Xenopus tropicalis: one gene and its partner. The protein of the gene in region 2 binds, or shares a complex with, the protein of the main gene of each other region. Links are inferred from orthologs where the notes say so. Each region holds a gene or a part of one and is shown on either strand. Other genes may lie near its edges.

Region 1 (8,420 bases), on a different chromosome or scaffold from region 2:
TGCAGGTCTGGAATATCTGGACCAACCTGCATTCCTTTCCCTTTGATCTCAGTTTCTAAGTCTTTCTTATATTCCTTCTGTAAAAAATAACACAAAAAAATGTAAATGGTGTACTGGATACAGAAATAATTTGATTCTGTGCCCTCTTTTTAGAGAATTAATATATAGCTAGTCACTTGGGCACCTCCGCTAGTTCTCCAGCATTCAGGCAGGAAAGTGGTGTGCTTCGTTGTGCTAACTCTCATTTTATTTAGCCCATTACTGAAAGCACACATTTTGTTATGAGATAAGGTTCTAGAATTGTACAGTTTATCCCACTATATAGCTTTTAAGCATTGGGTTTGAATAGATAAATCAAGAAATGAGTAGTGGACAAGCAATTGTTCTTTGATATTACAGAACATTGGAACCCCACCATCGTTTTTCAGCTGGAAAAAAGCACCCAAACCTGCCATTTCCAACTACTATTCACTTCCATGGGAAACATAGTATTTTATGGGAATTACTAGTACATAGAAGAAATCATCATCTGAAAATCAGATAAAATGCAGGCAAAACAAAGAGAAAATCAGTAAATACAACAGGGTGTAATTTAATATAGGAAGTGCAGCATACTTTGGGGTGCAGTCAGGTTTAATGTCAAAACAGATGTGCACAGATGCACGCACATGGGGTGGGGTTGCCGGTGCTGCTGGAGGGGGGTGATGCGGTGGGGGAAAGGGCCCTGAACTAGGGGTAGGTGAAAGAAGAGACAAAGTAAAAAAATATAAGGATTAGCTTTCAATATCAGTTTGTAAATGGATAATTTAAAGGGGACCTGTCACCCTAACAAATAATTACATATTCTTTTCTATCATGTTAGTTGAGCAAAATAAACATTACTTATACTGTATAATGTATTTACATTTTGTTTCCTTCAGTCTTGGAAATCACAGCAAACAGACAGGCGCCATTTTGTGGGCATTGTTATTAAGGCATGTTTTGTCTCACCCTAAAATCTTGTGCCAGAATGGGGGACCTAATGTCCATGGCCATGCAAAGACTACGCAAATATAGACTGTGAGAAGGGATGGGAAAGTGAGGAGTGCAATCTACAATGCTGAGTGGAAAGTGAAGGTAATTTACTGCCCCGCCTCTGTGTCTCAGGCAATATATGACAGCTCTGATTTTTAAATACTTTTATGTCTGGGAGACAGGTCCCCTTTAAACTTTTCTGAGAAATTAAATACAACTAAAATTATTAAAGCAGTGAATAAATGAATTCGGCTTTAACTTAAAATGGAAATGCATCTGTAATAAACCTGATGGTCTGTACCAACCTGGCTCACCATTTCAGAGACCCTCTTGACTCGCTGTATCTCAGGTATATCAGTCCCTACTTGCATCCCTTTCCCCCTAATTTCTCTTTCCAAATCTTTTGTATATTCTTTCTGTTTGAGAACACAAAAAGTAAATTTACTTTACCAATGGAAGTATGCCAACTATTTCATGTATTTTACATTTCATAACCCTTTTATTCTCTTAGTGCAGGTGCCTGAAAAACATAATTATTTTAATATGCAGGTATTGGACCTGTTATCCAGAATGCTTGGGACCTGGGGTTTTCCGGATAAGGGATCTTTCCGTAATTTATCATTTAAATATTGAATAAACCCAATAGGATTGTTTTGCCCCCAATAAGGATTATTTATATCTCAGTTTGGATCAAGTACAGGTACTGTTTTATTATTACAGAGAAAAGGGAATCATTTAACCATTAAATAAATCCAATAGGGCTGTTCTGCCCCCAATAAGGATTATTTATATCTCAGTTTGGATCAAGTACAGGTACTGTTTTATTATTACAGAGAAAAAGGAAATCATTTTATAAAATTAAAATAATTTGCTTACAATGGAGTCTATGGGAGAAGGCCTTTCCGTAATTCGGAACTTCCCCAGTGTATGCAGGGGCACTGCTAGCATGAGGCGAGCTGAGAAACTACCCTCAGACAGCAGTGCCCCCAAAGTAACCAGGGACAGCAAAAATTTGCTCCTGATAACTTTAAGAGTGAATCTCTGGTTTTTAAAATGTTTTCTCCTATTGTCCTTTCTTTAGTATATTTCCATGTTCCCTCTCTTTCTTGTGCATTCTGTGTCCCTCTTTAGATTTCCACATGAACTATTCCTCTCACTTTTTCATATTCCTTCTCTTCGCCTGTTAATACTATGCACCCAATTCACTTTTTATTGCTTTCTTTACAATGGTTCCACTTTCTCATATCTCACCTGGCCATTGCCCAACCTCCCCAGCTCTTCTTTACAATGGTTCCACTTTCTCATATCTTACCTGGCCATTGCCCAACCTCCCCAGCTCACTGTTTTTATGCCATGATCTTTAATTTACTGTTACTGTTGTCTTTTCACATTGCAACCTGTTTTTGTTTTCATTTCTCCTAAACCTCATTAATCTTTTATTCTTCAGCCAGGGGGATATTACTATTATTATTATTATTTTAGTTTGGTTGCATATCTGCATGGATCGGTGGAATATTCTGACCTCTAAATGTTTTCCAAATTTTTTTAGTATTTATAAAACAAATGAAAAAAAAACAGAAAAATGCAATTTACACATTAGTTTATGCCAAGGAACTCTGTGACATAGGTGTGTACCAACCTGGCTTACGATTTCCGATACCCTCTTGACCCGCTGTATTTCAGGCATGTCAGCCCCTATTTGCATTCCCTTTCCCTTAATTTCTGATTCCAAGTCTTTTTTGTATCCTTTCTGTTTGCAATCACAAGAAGAAAGTTTAAGTCTTGCACTGAAAGCTTTTTTTAAATATTTTACAGTGCATTTACAGTTTCACATTTAAATTCACTTTTAGTAGGTTATAGAAAGCAGCGCCGGAACTAGGGGTAGGCAGAAGAGGCAGCTGTCTAGGGCACAATTGGGGGGCGCCAGACAGAAGCCTCTCCTGCCTACCTCTAGTACGTTTTCTTTAGTCATTGCCCTCGCCACTTGTCATTACTCGGTGGGTGCAATGATTCATCGCGACACCACCCCAACTTGCCCCCCCTTGCGCGACTGCGCATGCGTGCCAAAGCACACGCAGCGGGGGTGGGGGGGGGAAGCGAGGAGAGGTGGCCAAGGGCACCCAGTCGGCTTGGCCCGCCCCTGATAGAAAGTCTTATCCCTAGCAACTTTGCAGTTGGTCTCACTATTTATTTTTAAATAGTTTATAAATTATCTGCCTTAAGGTGGCCATACACGGGCCGATTCTAGCTGACGATATTGGTCCCTTAGACCAAATCGGCCTGTGTAGGGGCACAAACGACAGGCCTCCCCGACCTGAAATCGGCCAGATATCAATTGGGCAGGTTTGAATTTTAGTCGGATTGGGGACCCCAAGGCCAAACGACCGAATTAGCCCAATATCGCCCACCCATAGGTGGGGGTATTGGGGGAAGATCTGCTCGCTTGGCAAGGTTGCCAAGTGTATCTTAGCGTGTATGGCCACCTTTACTCTTCTGCCTCTTTCCAGCCTTCAAATGGGGGTCACTGACCCAGGCATCCCAAAAACTATGAGTTAAAAATATTATTATTATTATTATTGTTACATTTTATTCCTTTTCTTCCAGTTCACCCTCCTATTCACACCACTGTCTTGTTGCTAAGGTAAACAAGACCCTAGCAACTAGATAGCTAATAAAATTCCAAACTGGAGGGCTGCTGAACAAACAGCTAAATAACTGAAAAAGCACAAACAAATAAAAATGATAATAAATTGCAGATTGTCTCAGAATATCAATGGCGATGTCACACTGACACTAAAAGTGAATTTAAAGGTAAACAATCCCTATAATGCTAAATATAGGGATAAATAATTATATCGTAAACCTTAGGTTCTAAATAATACAATGTTTTATAAGGGTAAAAATATTTATTGATCTAAATACATATTTTTAACAACTTGAAATCAATATTAATACATCAAACAAATCCAGGGTCTGTACCAACCTGGCTCACCATTTCAGTTACCCTCTTGACTCGTTGTATCTCGGGTATATCAGTCCCTATTATCATCCCTTTTCCCTTAATTTCGGTTTCATAATCCTTTGTGTATTCTTTCTGTACAGAGAGCAGAAAATACCTTTTTTCCAATATATGCAAAAGTAATAATAAATAGTTTACTATTGGTTGATCTATCCTTTCTCGCAGAAACTTTTATGAGGACAAAAGATAGGTGTTAAGAGATCAAAGATCAATATTTAAAAAACATTGCCTAGGTAGTCTTGACTGGTAAATCTAGTTTATTTTAAGATTACCTGGCTGGCTATTTCTGATGCCCTTTTTGCCCTGATCATATCTGGGATGTCGGCACTAAATTCCATGCCTTTTCCTTTAATATCATTCTCAAGGTCCTTGCGGTACTCTTTCTACAACAGACAAACACAATACAAATTATGTGGAAATAAATGATAACACTCACATATTGGGCACACTCACTGTTCATACCTCATTCAATATCTGAGCAGCATTCTTCACCCTTATTAAATCGGGGGTGTCTTCTAAGACTGTAAGACCTTTTCCTTTTATCCCTTCTTCCAGATCTTTTCTATATTCTTTCTAGAAAAGACCAGAAAACCACGCTTTTGTTTAGACTGTATGTTGGTATGGAAGACTCTTTTTGCTAATAAAATGCAACCTGACCAGCGTTAATTAGACAGAGCCACCTTGACGTGTTTATGGTGGCCTGGCAATCTTCTGACCAGAAATGCAGAAATAAAAACCCTTATTTTTTAATACATATGAATCATTTTTTATTGGCGATGATCTAAATTTTTGGTATGTATGGATTTGCAGCGAAATTCTGAATGCCATAGGTGAAACCACTGAAAAAAATTGCCATGAAAATCTTGGTGTCCAATATATTTTGCACGTAAAACGTTGCTGTGGGGAAATAGTTGCTGCGATAATGTATTGTGCATAGGAAAAGTAGTCCTGCTGCAAGACAGTTGCAGCAGAAAAAAAAAATTCCCATTGATATCAAAGTGTTTTGAAGATTTTCAACATTTCGTTAATTTTTCGACGGTTTTGCAAATTTTTTTTGTGAAGCGGAAAGGGACATATTTGCACATCACTAATTATTATTATTGGCCATGGGACACTGCTCAATCTCTTTTTTTCTTTGAGTCTCTAGCCCCATTCTTAAAATCCTTGTAAAACATTTAAAATGTTTTGTTTTTTGTTTTTTTAAATCCTTTGAAACCAGTATTGTATTTTCCTTTTTTTGTGAAATATATTGTTGTTTATTTATAAACACTTGGTAAATTTCCACCTATGCAGTAACTCATGGCAGCAAATTACATTACATTGCTTTCATTGTCTATGATTTACTCTCCATTATAAATTATTGATAGTAAGCTGACGAGTTTATTCCAGACAGGACATGAAATGTCTGCCTGCTTGTTAGTAGGAATGACTATTACAGTTCAGTTCAATTCTTACCCTGCATAGTGCAAGAAAAAACAACAAACAAAGTTTGAATTAATTGCACAAGTTCACTAACCTCACTCTGTATCTTCTGAGCCTCCTTTGAAACTTGATATGATGGAGTATCAACAAATTCAAGCAATGACCTTCCCTTAGACTTCTCATATTCCTCCTTGTATTTAACCTGCAAAATGGTCATTAATCAATCAAAGTACATTTTAGTACAAGAATTTGATTTGTACAAAGCCAGAGCTACAGGAAAAAAAAGACCTAGTGCCAAAAGAATCTCTTGTCATTTGCATTAACCCTAGATAGTTCTTGACAGTCAGGAGACTGCTGTAAGTAGTAGTTCTGGGGAGCTGGAGTTTGGATTTCCCTGATGTAAGGAGTGGGAAAATGTTTTTATTGAAATTACTGTTATTTTTAGTTACAGCCATAGATGTTAGGTAGGGCATTCCTCTAGGGAGGTTCTAGATCAGGGTCTTCTCTGCTGGAATGGAGCTGCTGGAGGCCAAGGATGGGCCAGGAACAGCGGAGGAGTTCACAAAAGTAGTGGAGAGGGACCAAAAGTGGACCCCATGAGCCTTTTAGCTAATTTAGGCCAAAGTACCTCATGTGTCTAATCAGCCAGATGTGCACATGGAAGCTACTGAGGAAAGTGACCCTGATGAGAGGACCAAAGCTGCTGGGGTCAGCCTGGCTGGGGAGCCCAAGAATGTAAGCAGCCAAAGAGATCTTGGTCCCAAGGTGCAGCATTATATGTCTTACAAAGACACAAGGGAAAGGTTTGACCATCTGGTCTGGGGTGTCCTTGCCCTTTAGAGACTACTGAGACTAGAGACAGAACTGTTGCCATCCACTATATCATATGGAGCTTTTGTTTAAGAGGCCCTCTTCAGCTGGAAGGCCCCATGTCCCTAATCTCCACTTCCCTTTTAAGAGTTTTACCAAAAGTGGGATCGATGTTGAACGGCAGCCAGGACACGGAAGAGCAGCCAATATGTATAAATAGTTTGTTTTTCTAATGCTAATAATGTTTTCCCTTTGAATCTTTAGTAATGCTATGTTTTAATATTTAATGGTGTTATTTTCTTTACAGCGAGCCAGTAAGGTGTATTTTGTACTTTTAACCTGCACATTTGCTTTCCATAGGGCCCTCTATAAGGCTATGTGCCTAAGTAGATGCCCTCTTCTAAAACTATGCATTAGGTGTTAGTTATGGGTGAAGTACATGCTCTTTTCTCAGTCGTCTTAAACTGGACTTGAGCTATTAGGAATTCCCACTAAATAGCTCTGCATTATATTTCTTACCTGGCTTTGCAGCACAGCATTCTCTTTGTGATGAATCTGCTCTGCTGTATCCAACGCAAAATGATAGATTCCCTTCTGTTCCTCAAATTTCTTCTTGTACATGTTCTATAAGACACAGACATTATATTATTATTATTATTATATTATATTTTTCAGGGGACCAGAAAAAATGTGCCATGCATTATATATTAATGGGACCATGGGAAAACCTAAAGTCAGGGTATGTAAAATGTAGGTTTCTCTGTATTGTTCTTACTATAGAATGTTTCAAGTGTAATGAGTCTCTGTCCCATTAAGCTTACAATGAAAGACTGGTGACTAAGGCACTTAAAGGATAAGTAGCAAATTCAAAGTCACAAGAAAAATGATTCAATGAGACTCAGGACTTTAGACATTTAGGCACTTAAAGGGGAACTCCACCCAAACCCAACTTATGCTTTTTGAAAAGTAAACATAATTTCAAGCACCTTTACAATATACATCAATTAAAAATATGCAACCTCTTCATGATTTTTAATGTAATCGTATGGTTTGGAACAGTTCCCAAAGAATGGCCACCTGTTTCCCTGCTGACCTGCTGACTACTTTATGACTCAAAAAAAAAATGTAATAATAGTTGACTGTCCTCAGCCTGCATCCTCCTAATCCCACAATTCCCTGCACACAAGATGTCAATAAGGAAAGTAACATCTAAGTGCAATGCATTGTGGGTTATGTAGTTCTTGCATGCTGTCTGTAAGTTGTGGTCAAGTTATTACAATTTGTAACATCAATGTTTTAGTCCCTCCTCCCCTGCCAGGATTTCAAATGATGTATAAAGAGAAGAACTGTTTTGCAGTTGGATTTCAGCATATAAAATGGTATATGTTCATACTTTTTGAAGGAACAGATTACAGCGATAGGTATATTAGGGGTTTCTGTGTTGTGTGGGGCTCCTTGCAGTGTTCTGCAGTCAATCACAATCTTAGCTGGCCAGGTCTGACAGCAAATTCTGCTAATGACCATTATTATCCCTAAAGTAATAAGAACATTTAGCCATAAAAAGCAGATCAGTGTACAGTTAAGCCTAATACATAATGTGACCCAAATCAGGACTATAGTTTAACAATGCTAAAATGTTTATCTCGTGGCTGCTGTTCCCCCAACATTTTAGAAAATACTTATTTCAGAGTATTTCCAATCTTTTTTTTTTTTTTGGTCAGGTCTCTAAGCAATGTGTAGAAATAAAAAACAGGCAGATTGGGTCAAGCTGTTCTTCCCCATATTAAATGCAATTTTTCTATAACTGAAGATTTCTCTTATATCTGTTAAATTGCTGTTTTCTGCAGAAAAATAATCACAAATATAACGGGCTGGAGAAAAATAGAGGTAATTAGCTCGCGGCCATGCAGTGAAAGCATTTCACTTTCTGATGATATGTTTTGTGTCGGAGACACTCAGTAAGGTGGAAACAATCTCAGGCAGCTGCAGTAAATTGCTGTACCAGATCTAACAGGGTCTAATAGTGGCTGTAACTGCGCAATCTAAATTGGTGCCCGGCAGTATAAAATCATGTTCTGCAAGCAGAGGAGACCTACAGACTGACTATATCAATCAAGTTTTAAAATGGGTGACCTATTCTATGTTCTCTAGGTTT
Region 2 (8,420 bases):
CGGTGTAGGCAGCAAAACAAGAGATGTCAGGAACAGGCAAAAGTCAGTACAGGCAGCAAGCAAGAGAGGTCAGGAACAGGCAAAGGTCAATACACGGCAAAAAAACTAGATATATCACACCCAGGAACTCACAGGAAGTAAACCTATGTTGGGCAGGAAATACAGGCAGTAAGCGCTTTAGATATTCGAATTTTGGTGCATGTGCGTGCATCACCGGATGTGCATGCGCGTCAAAGGGCAGCGCGCCTAGAAGAGGATGGCGGGCGTCCCCGCAATGGAGGAGGTGGTGGGCGTCCCCGCCACCCCACTAGACCACCAGGTATCATTGCATATAGGTTCAGAACCTATTATCCGAAATGCTCAGGACCTGGGCGTTTCCGGATAAGGGGTCTTTTCGTAATTTGGATCACTGTACCTTACTGCAGCAATGAACAGCTAAAAAAACAAAAATGGAGAAGAATGTAGTGAATAGAACAGCAGATTAAATTCTCATTGGAGACATTTTTTGCATGAATTAGGTCACTGATTCTGGGGGTTTTAAAAACCAACAATGTTGCCGTAATTATTTGTTTCAAGGACCACTGATGCCCAAGTTACTGAGAGATCCGTTCTTTGTGTGACATGGTTAACCTTTCCTCCACCAATAATGTGAGGGCCCACGTAAGAGAGTCCAATGTAACACATGCTCTACTGGGACTCCAGGGAGTTGTTACTTGCCAAGTCCAAGTTGGGTAAGGATAAGGATGGTCCTAACTATGAAGGAGTGAGCCATGCTTTTCAAAAGAAATCCAAACTTAGATGATTTTCTGCACAGATTGTATTGAATATAAGTAAATCTTGCTTTAAGCATCAATTTCCTTACAGTTTGCCAAAGAACTTTAAGAAGTGTTATGCTTTTCTTGCAGTAAGGAAATGTTGCCATGGAATTGTATTGTTTCCTTTTCTCAATTGAACTATAATACACTGAAATGAAGTAGTGTTTTTCTTTCATGCCTCTACTGCATATGAGCGAGAAAATGTTCTTGCCTGATTAAATTGGGCTTTCACCAGGCGAAGTCGTTTAAAACAAAGCTTTAAATGCTTCTCACAAATGACTACATTTAAAATAATGCATCCCAGAGGCAGCCGAAAAGATACGCTCACAAATTGCAATTTCAATTACTCTTCCATTCCATAATAACATAATACATCTGAATCAAACCCCTAGTAAAGTATGAATGCGCGGTTATTGTGCTGCTTCACCGGGGCTTTAAAAAACCCAAGGGGAGGCATTATGTGTTTTGTTTTTACTATATGGTGAGACACTCAGCATTAATCACACTAGATACAGATTCAGGAAGACTGAGCGCTTACAGTGAACAATGTAAATGGACTTAATGATGATACCACAATGGGTCTATGCTATGCAAACATCTTTTTTCCTCTGTAATGTTGTTGTGCATCCCCTTCCCATAGATCCCTTATAGGCAGGCTTAGGCATTGCTGTAGATATGGATTCTGGAAGATTAGCGATTAGTGAAGATTAGTAAACAAAGAGCAACTTGATGATGATACCACAATGGGTCTATGATATGCAGGCATTATTTTTCCTGTTCAACGACAAACTCAAGATCTTGGCACACACACACTATACCCTTGTTACCAGTGCCACATTGTCAAGGATTTTCTTTGTCCAGAATTTCCTGGGCTACAAATCTTAGCATACTCCTACATATTACCATAGGTTAAACCACATCATCAAAAATTTACCATTCCTTTCTCATATCATGTAAGCTCCTTCCACTTGCTGAGCTCTGTATTCATTTTCTTACTTTTCTAATGCCTGATAATTCCCAGCCCCATATCTTGTGACTCATGTTCACTTCTCCTGATAGATTGTAAGCCAAGGGGCAGGGCCATGTTTACCTTTTGTATTGGTCAAAATTTGTATGTAATCTGTATGTTTGGTACATTTAATATTTTATTGTACAACACTGTGGAATATGTTGGTGCTGTATAAATACTTGTTATTCGCCGACAGCATATGCATATGTGCACTTGCTTTTGTCTACATATGTGCGTGAGTGTATGTGTATGTGTATACACACGCATGTGTGTGTGACATTTAAAGGGACACTAAACCCTGCTGTACTGCACTGCTCAACCAAACTTTACTCGGCTGTTGCTGGACTACAAATCCCAGAATAATGTAACATTTAATGAAGGCTGAGACATGCTGGGAGCTGTAGTCCAGGAACATCAGGGTTGTATTCTTAAAGCAATATTGCACAATAAAACTTTTCCTAAACTTTCCCCGAAATCTCCAGGGCCAGGGACTGCATTAAAATGCAAGAAATGAGAATCCCAGCTGATCAGTGTAAATCTGACACCATGTTCTCTGTTCCAGCAATTGGAGTTGGAAAAAATTACATAATTATCTCTATATGTAAGATAACAGCAAGATGCCTGACACAGTGCTGGGAATCCGCATTCTCATTGGTCAGTTATTTTGCATTTATAATGAAGTTTTTGATAGTAGAATTCTCACTGGTGAATTTTCTTGCAGCTATAATTACGTTTTTTGGCAACTTTTATAGCAAAACTAGGGGGCGCAGTGGGACAGTGTTATGGTAAAATGGTTACAATTCTGCCACAATCAGGCTGCTATGACGCATTAGTATTTCATTTCTCTTTTTGTAGGCTGATTTATTTATTCTCAGTTCTAAATAAATATATATACTCCTACAATTTTTGTTTGTTTAGGAAACAAGAAAGAGCAAAGAAGTAACATTCTCGTGCAGCAGTAGCAGCAGCCATGCAGCGGAGCAAAGATCCCAGTTTACAGCTGCAAATGCAGAACAGGTATGCATCAATGCAATATGTACAGGTATCTATTGAAATAAAAGAAGCACCGCACATCAGTTGGCCTTCTGATATTAAGTTAGTCAACTTGTTCCCATTTACATGGAGCATCCCACCCTGCTGTGCCATTAGCAAAAGCATAGTACCTCAGAGCCGCTGCTCCAATAAGAACCACAAGGGGGCAGTGTCAAAAACATCCCATAGGTAGATCGGTGTTGGGATCTGACCTGCTTTTTGATAAAACACACAAGGCCAGAGGGAAGTCAGCTGCTACATACGAATGAAGCTCTGTAAACACTGCCTTCTTCATGAATAGAGGTGATTACAGTCCTCCCTGTTCTGAGAAGCATACAGAGTCCAAGTTAATAAATGATGCTGCAATGAGCACCAATGAGCCTTATTGAACTGCTTCCTAACCTTGGAGCTCTATCTTTCTATAGCGCATATTGATTGTATTGCTTGGTTGTATTAACTACTTCTTTGTCTTTACCAATGCCTGGTCATTAAGAGTGCACCTTTCCCCCCACTCGCCCCATCTGATAATATCTTTCCATCCAATTACCATCCCTCCTGTCAATAACCCCCCCCCCCTCCCTCCAAATCACTCAGATCTATTTCTCTAGCTGTAATAGATCTTAGTAACATGTACCGGCCCAGAGGCCTTTATTCTTTTTACAGTATGCCATGATCTTTATCATGATGGTTTATCTACTGAATAATTAAAGGAACAGTAACACCAAAAAATGAAAGCGTTTTAACGTAATTTAAATATAATGTACTGTTGCCCTGCACTGGTAAAACTGTTTGGTTTTTTTTATACAGAAACACTACTATAATTTATATAAATTAGCTTTTGTGTAGCTATAGGGGCAGCCATTCAAGCTGGAAAAAAAGGCACAGGTTACATAGTAGGTAACAGATAAGCATTGTAGAATATAATAGGGCTTTATCTGTTTTCTGTTAAGTAACCTGTGCCTTTTTTCCTTTTAATGGCTGCCCCCGTGGCTACAGCAGCATTGTTTATATAAACTATAGTAGTCTTTCAAACACACCAGTTCAGGACAACAGTTCATTATATCATAATCACTTTTATTCGCTTTCAATTTTTGGTGTTACTGTTCCTTTAACTCCTGTATGGAAGCACCTGCTCTTAGTTTACTCTGTGTCTCTCCTTTCAAGTGATTACTTTATTTTCGCTAATTATTTGTATGTACTTGTTCTAAGAAACTCTAGGAAAACATATTCTGAATCTAGACTTTTAGTAAAATTCCTTTCCAGATGTTTACTGAAGCTTAGAGTCTGCTAATAAAGCTATTTTTTTTTTTTTTTTTAAATGCCATCATTTACTTTACTTAGGTTTCTGTGCATCAGCAACATACCCATGAGACAAGCACAGCATCTAATTATAATCAAGAAGATGATGAAGTAGGTAAGAATTCTGCTTTGGATTTGGTTGGAAAGGCTACATGACTGAAAGCACTGGAGTAGAAAATTTAGATCTGAAATTTAACATGTGAGCGTACTAGTGATCAAAAAACCATTTTATTTTATATGTACGCTCAAACTCTTGCTATGGGAATATAATTTCCAGGGTCGTTGTGCTACAAGCAGGTATGTACAGTATGTAATACAGCAATTATGATTTGGCTACATGGGCCAATTCTAGCTACTGATATTGGCCTCTTAGACCAATTCGGCAGCTTATCAGCCCATGTATGGGCACTAACGATGGGCCTGCCCAACCAACATCTGGCCTGAAATTGGCCAGATCTTAATCAGGCAGGTTTGATTTTTTTTGTCAGATCATGGACAGCATCGGTTCGTTGATGCGCTCCCCAAACTGACAGGTGCCTATACTTGCCATCTTAATTTGATTGTTTGGACCCAGGGCCAAACGACCAAGTTAGCCTGATATTGCCCATCCATACGTGGAGATATGGGGAGAAGATCCGCTCGCTTGGCGACCTCTTCAAGCGAGTGGATCTTAGCGTGTATGGCCACCTTTACTCTGGAACCTCTGGGTGGAGACCTCAAATTCAATAAATACAAACTTAAAATAATTCTTCCAGTAGCAGAAGAAGCCTCTGTAGGATCAACAAAACCAAGGAGGTGTCTGTAGGTTGATCCAAAAAGTCAACGAGAAGGCCACCACCAAGACAAACAGCACGCAACAATTTTTATGAAGTTTAGATCACCTTTTGTATGGCTGTGGCACCTACACAATTCTGATCCTTGTGCCATAGCCCTGTGTTTCTGGAAAATAGGTTAGATGCCAGGGAAGGCTTTTTGTGGAAAAGATAGAAATCCCAGGAAACCCACTGACCAGCAAAGTGGCAATATCTATAGCTGTTAAGTAGAAAAGCACCCTACATATTTTTTAACCCTGCAATTACATCTTTCTTGGAAAGGAATTGCATAGCATGACCGTCTTGAACGTAAAAAAAACAAAAAAACTTTTCTATGCTTATTGTGAAATATTCTTTTTCTCTTGCCCAGAGTGAGAGAAGACTAAGCCGTCTATTATCTTAGCAACAATCTAAGCTTCACTTTTCTTCTTTCTTTTTTATATACAATTATGAAGAACTACCAAAGATTTCAACACAAGTTCTCAAAGAACAATTTGAAAAATCTCTTAAGGAGAAAGGAGCCAAGACTCATTCAAGCGCTGTTTCTCAACCAAAGCATTCAAAGGTATTTATGTCTTATTGTAATAAGTATATACAATGGAGTCTTTTAGAAGTAGAACTAAAAACTCAATAGCCCTTGTTTAGCAGCTAAAGAACAAAGGATCTCACTAGGGGTAATAATTTGTTAGGGTAGTGGCACGCAGCGTGTTTAGTTGCCCGCTGTTAAATCTCAGCTACTGTGGGTAACTAATCTCCCCAAAATGCCTCTCCACTGACATGCCATATGGGGAGATTAGTCGCCTGTGGTAGCCGAGATTTAACCATGGGTAACTAATCTCCCCATGTGCCACTACTCTTAGACACCAACCCAAATCTTCTGCCCTAGGCCAGTGCACTTGTTCTATCAAAAAATGCCCCCTCTCCAGCCAAGCTCCTAGGACTGGTGTATATTTTAGGAAATTGGCACTGGACTATTTGTAATTATTAACTACTTTTTAAAAGGTCATATTACCAATTTTATTTTTCACTGCTTATAATATTATCCCTGCACTATAATGCTGAGAAAAGTAATAGAACTAATATTTCCTTTAATAAAAAATTAAAAAAATTTTTTGTCTGTCTATTTGAAATCAAAGCATACCGCTATTATCAAGTATAATTTACATCATTTTCAGACTCTCTGGTGTCTTAAGGGTCTAACACCCCCCTGGTTAAGAGTCTGGTATACAAATTAAAATTGGCAAACAAACAAATAGTTACCATGGAATATAATGTCAACAAATTCATAAAGGGGATGTGAGCAGCTATAGATGTGCCTTTAAAAGAGGAGATTTTAAATTAGCACATATAATTTATAAACAATATAAAAATATAAGGCATTTTCGTGTTATAAACTGCAATATCCAACATCTTTCAAGTCCACAGGATTCTGAGGGTTATAGTCTTCAATTTTGGGGGTCAGGCACATGAGTCCGATGTTTCTGTTTTAGAACATGATTTTAGTCCATGCAAATGAAAATTGTGTATCTTATTCCCTAAAGATCTATAATGAGCATCCAGAATTTGAGTGGCCAGTGGTAACTACCATCCATAGCAACTCAGCAAATAGAGTCCAAAATGCAGTGACTGAGGAGACAAGCGTGCATACTACATCCTCTGATAATGTTGCTTCAGCTTCATTTGGAAGTTTAGAAGAGTTTCCACCTCCACCTCCTCCAAATATTTTAGAGACAGAGGAATTGGCAGATTTTTCCCAGTCCCCAGAGCCCCCCAGCTATGCAGAACAGCAACCATGTGCCATGTCCAAAGAATTATACGCCAAGCAAAGGAATCTCTATGAGTTAAAACGTTTATACAAACATATTCATCCAGAACTTAGAAAGAACTTACAAAAGGAGTTTTATAGTGAAGTTTCTGACATTGTTGCCAATAAAGTTGAACAACTTGGTGAGGCTAAAGGAGATGTACAACAAGTCAAGTATGCATTTGAAAATCCAGTGGGTAGTCCTCAAAAGTGCATTAGCCCAGAGAGAGAATATCTGGAATGGGATGAAATTCTGAAAGGTGAAGTGCAATCAATGAGATGGGTCTTTGAAAACCAACCTTTAGATTCAATCAAAGATGAATCCCCAGAGCCAAGCCATATCAAACGTATTGGAGAGCAAGAGATCATTGCAGGAGGAGATGTCAAATATGCAACATGGATGTTTGAGACAAAACCAATTGATGCTTTGGGTGTGGACATTTCCACTGCTACTGAGAATATAGAAAAAGTCCCTGATCTTGCAAGGGGTGATGTGCGGACAGCTACCTGGTTGTTTGAAACCCAGCCACTAGATTGTTTGAATAAAATTTATAAGGAGGACGACTTATCTAACACATTGGAAACCACTGAAGAAATTAAAGGAGGCGATGTAAAATTAGGAAAGCATTTATTTGAATCTACTTTTCAAAATGAAATCAGTTCACTGAGACTAAGCTCAGAACTTGAGGAGTTAAAAGGTGATGTTAAAACAACAATAAAGCAGTTTGAAACTGAACCTAAATATGTCTTAAAGGATAGTTCTGGAAAAATGCTAGAAATTAAAACTATTCGGAGAGAAGATGTAGAGAAAGGAGATGTGAAAACAGCAAGATGGATGTTTGAAACTCAGCCTTTAGATACAATCAACCAGGATGAAGTAGAAGTTAAAGTTGTTCGGGGCATATCACTGGAAGAAAACCTTACAGGGGGTGTAGGAAAAGCAAAGTGGCTATTTGAAACTCAAGCTCTGGATACAATTAAAGAAGTAGAAAGCTCTGTCACAGAAAAAGAAACCATAATTGGTTCTGATGTGTATCAAAAATGTTGGGTCTTTGAAACTATTCCCATGGACATGCTTAAAGATAATGCCAATGAAAGGCCTATGCAAGGAGAAGAGATAATAGGAGGGGATGTAAGTAATACTAAATATTTGTTTGAAACAGTGCCAATGGATGAACTTAAGGAAAGTGTTGAGGTGGGCAAACTGAAACCAATAGTTACCATGGAAGATGAAAAAGGTGATGTACGCCATCAAAGATGGGTTTTTGAAACAAAATCACTTGGAGAGATAGGAGAAGACCACAAAGAACATGTCCGAACTGTCCAACTTGATGAAATTCATAAAGGAGATGTGATCAGCTGTAAAAATGCATTCGAGAAAGGAGATCTTACAAAAAGCGAATTAACATATAAAATTGCAGTTGAAGATGTTGACAAGGGTGCAGTAAAGCTTAATAAAAAACTTTTTGAAACAACTCCACTCTATGCAATTCAGGATCGTTTTGGCCATTTTCATGAAGTCCAAACAATCCGTAAGGAAGATATTGTAAGAGGTGATGTACAGAGCTGCCAGTGGATGTTTGAAACTATACCCATTGACCAATTTCGAGAAAGAAGTGTTGAGAATTATCAGATTATCAAAGGTATAT

The links. The genes of interacting proteins can lie anywhere in the genome.
Region 1: the proteins of xirp2 (region 2) and nebl are in contact, whole or in part, in a crystal structure (PDB 4F14), measured with the Homo sapiens proteins. The link is inferred for Xenopus tropicalis from reciprocal best matches to the Homo sapiens genes XIRP2 and NEBL. Residues at the interface, in NP_689594.4 of Homo sapiens: Pro2420, Pro2421, Pro2422, Thr2423, Leu2424, Pro2425, Lys2426, Pro2427; in NP_006384.1 of Homo sapiens: Tyr963, Asp964, Tyr965, Asp969, Asp971, Glu972, Ile987, Asp988, Asp989, Gly990, Trp991, Met1004, Pro1006, Asn1008, Tyr1009.

What each region holds. Positions count from the first base shown.
Region 1 is NC_030682.2:27,395,666-27,404,085, reverse strand, and holds part of nebl (nebulette), read right to left. Parts: intron 6,890-8,420; coding exon 6,785-6,889; intron 5,658-6,784; coding exon 5,550-5,657; intron 4,607-5,549; coding exon 4,496-4,606; intron 4,417-4,495; coding exon 4,306-4,416; intron 4,109-4,305; coding exon 3,998-4,108; intron 2,765-3,997; coding exon 2,654-2,764; intron 1,431-2,653; coding exon 1,320-1,430; intron 78-1,319; coding exon 1-77. UniProt on the Homo sapiens protein: Binds to actin and plays an important role in the assembly of the Z-disk. May functionally link sarcomeric actin to the desmin intermediate filaments in the heart muscle sarcomeres.
Region 2 is NC_030685.2:69,628,287-69,636,706, reverse strand, and holds part of xirp2 (xin actin-binding repeat-containing protein 2), read left to right. Parts: intron 1-2,742; coding exon 2,743-2,841; intron 2,842-4,197; coding exon 4,198-4,270; intron 4,271-5,422; coding exon 5,423-5,532; intron 5,533-6,508; coding exon 6,509-8,420.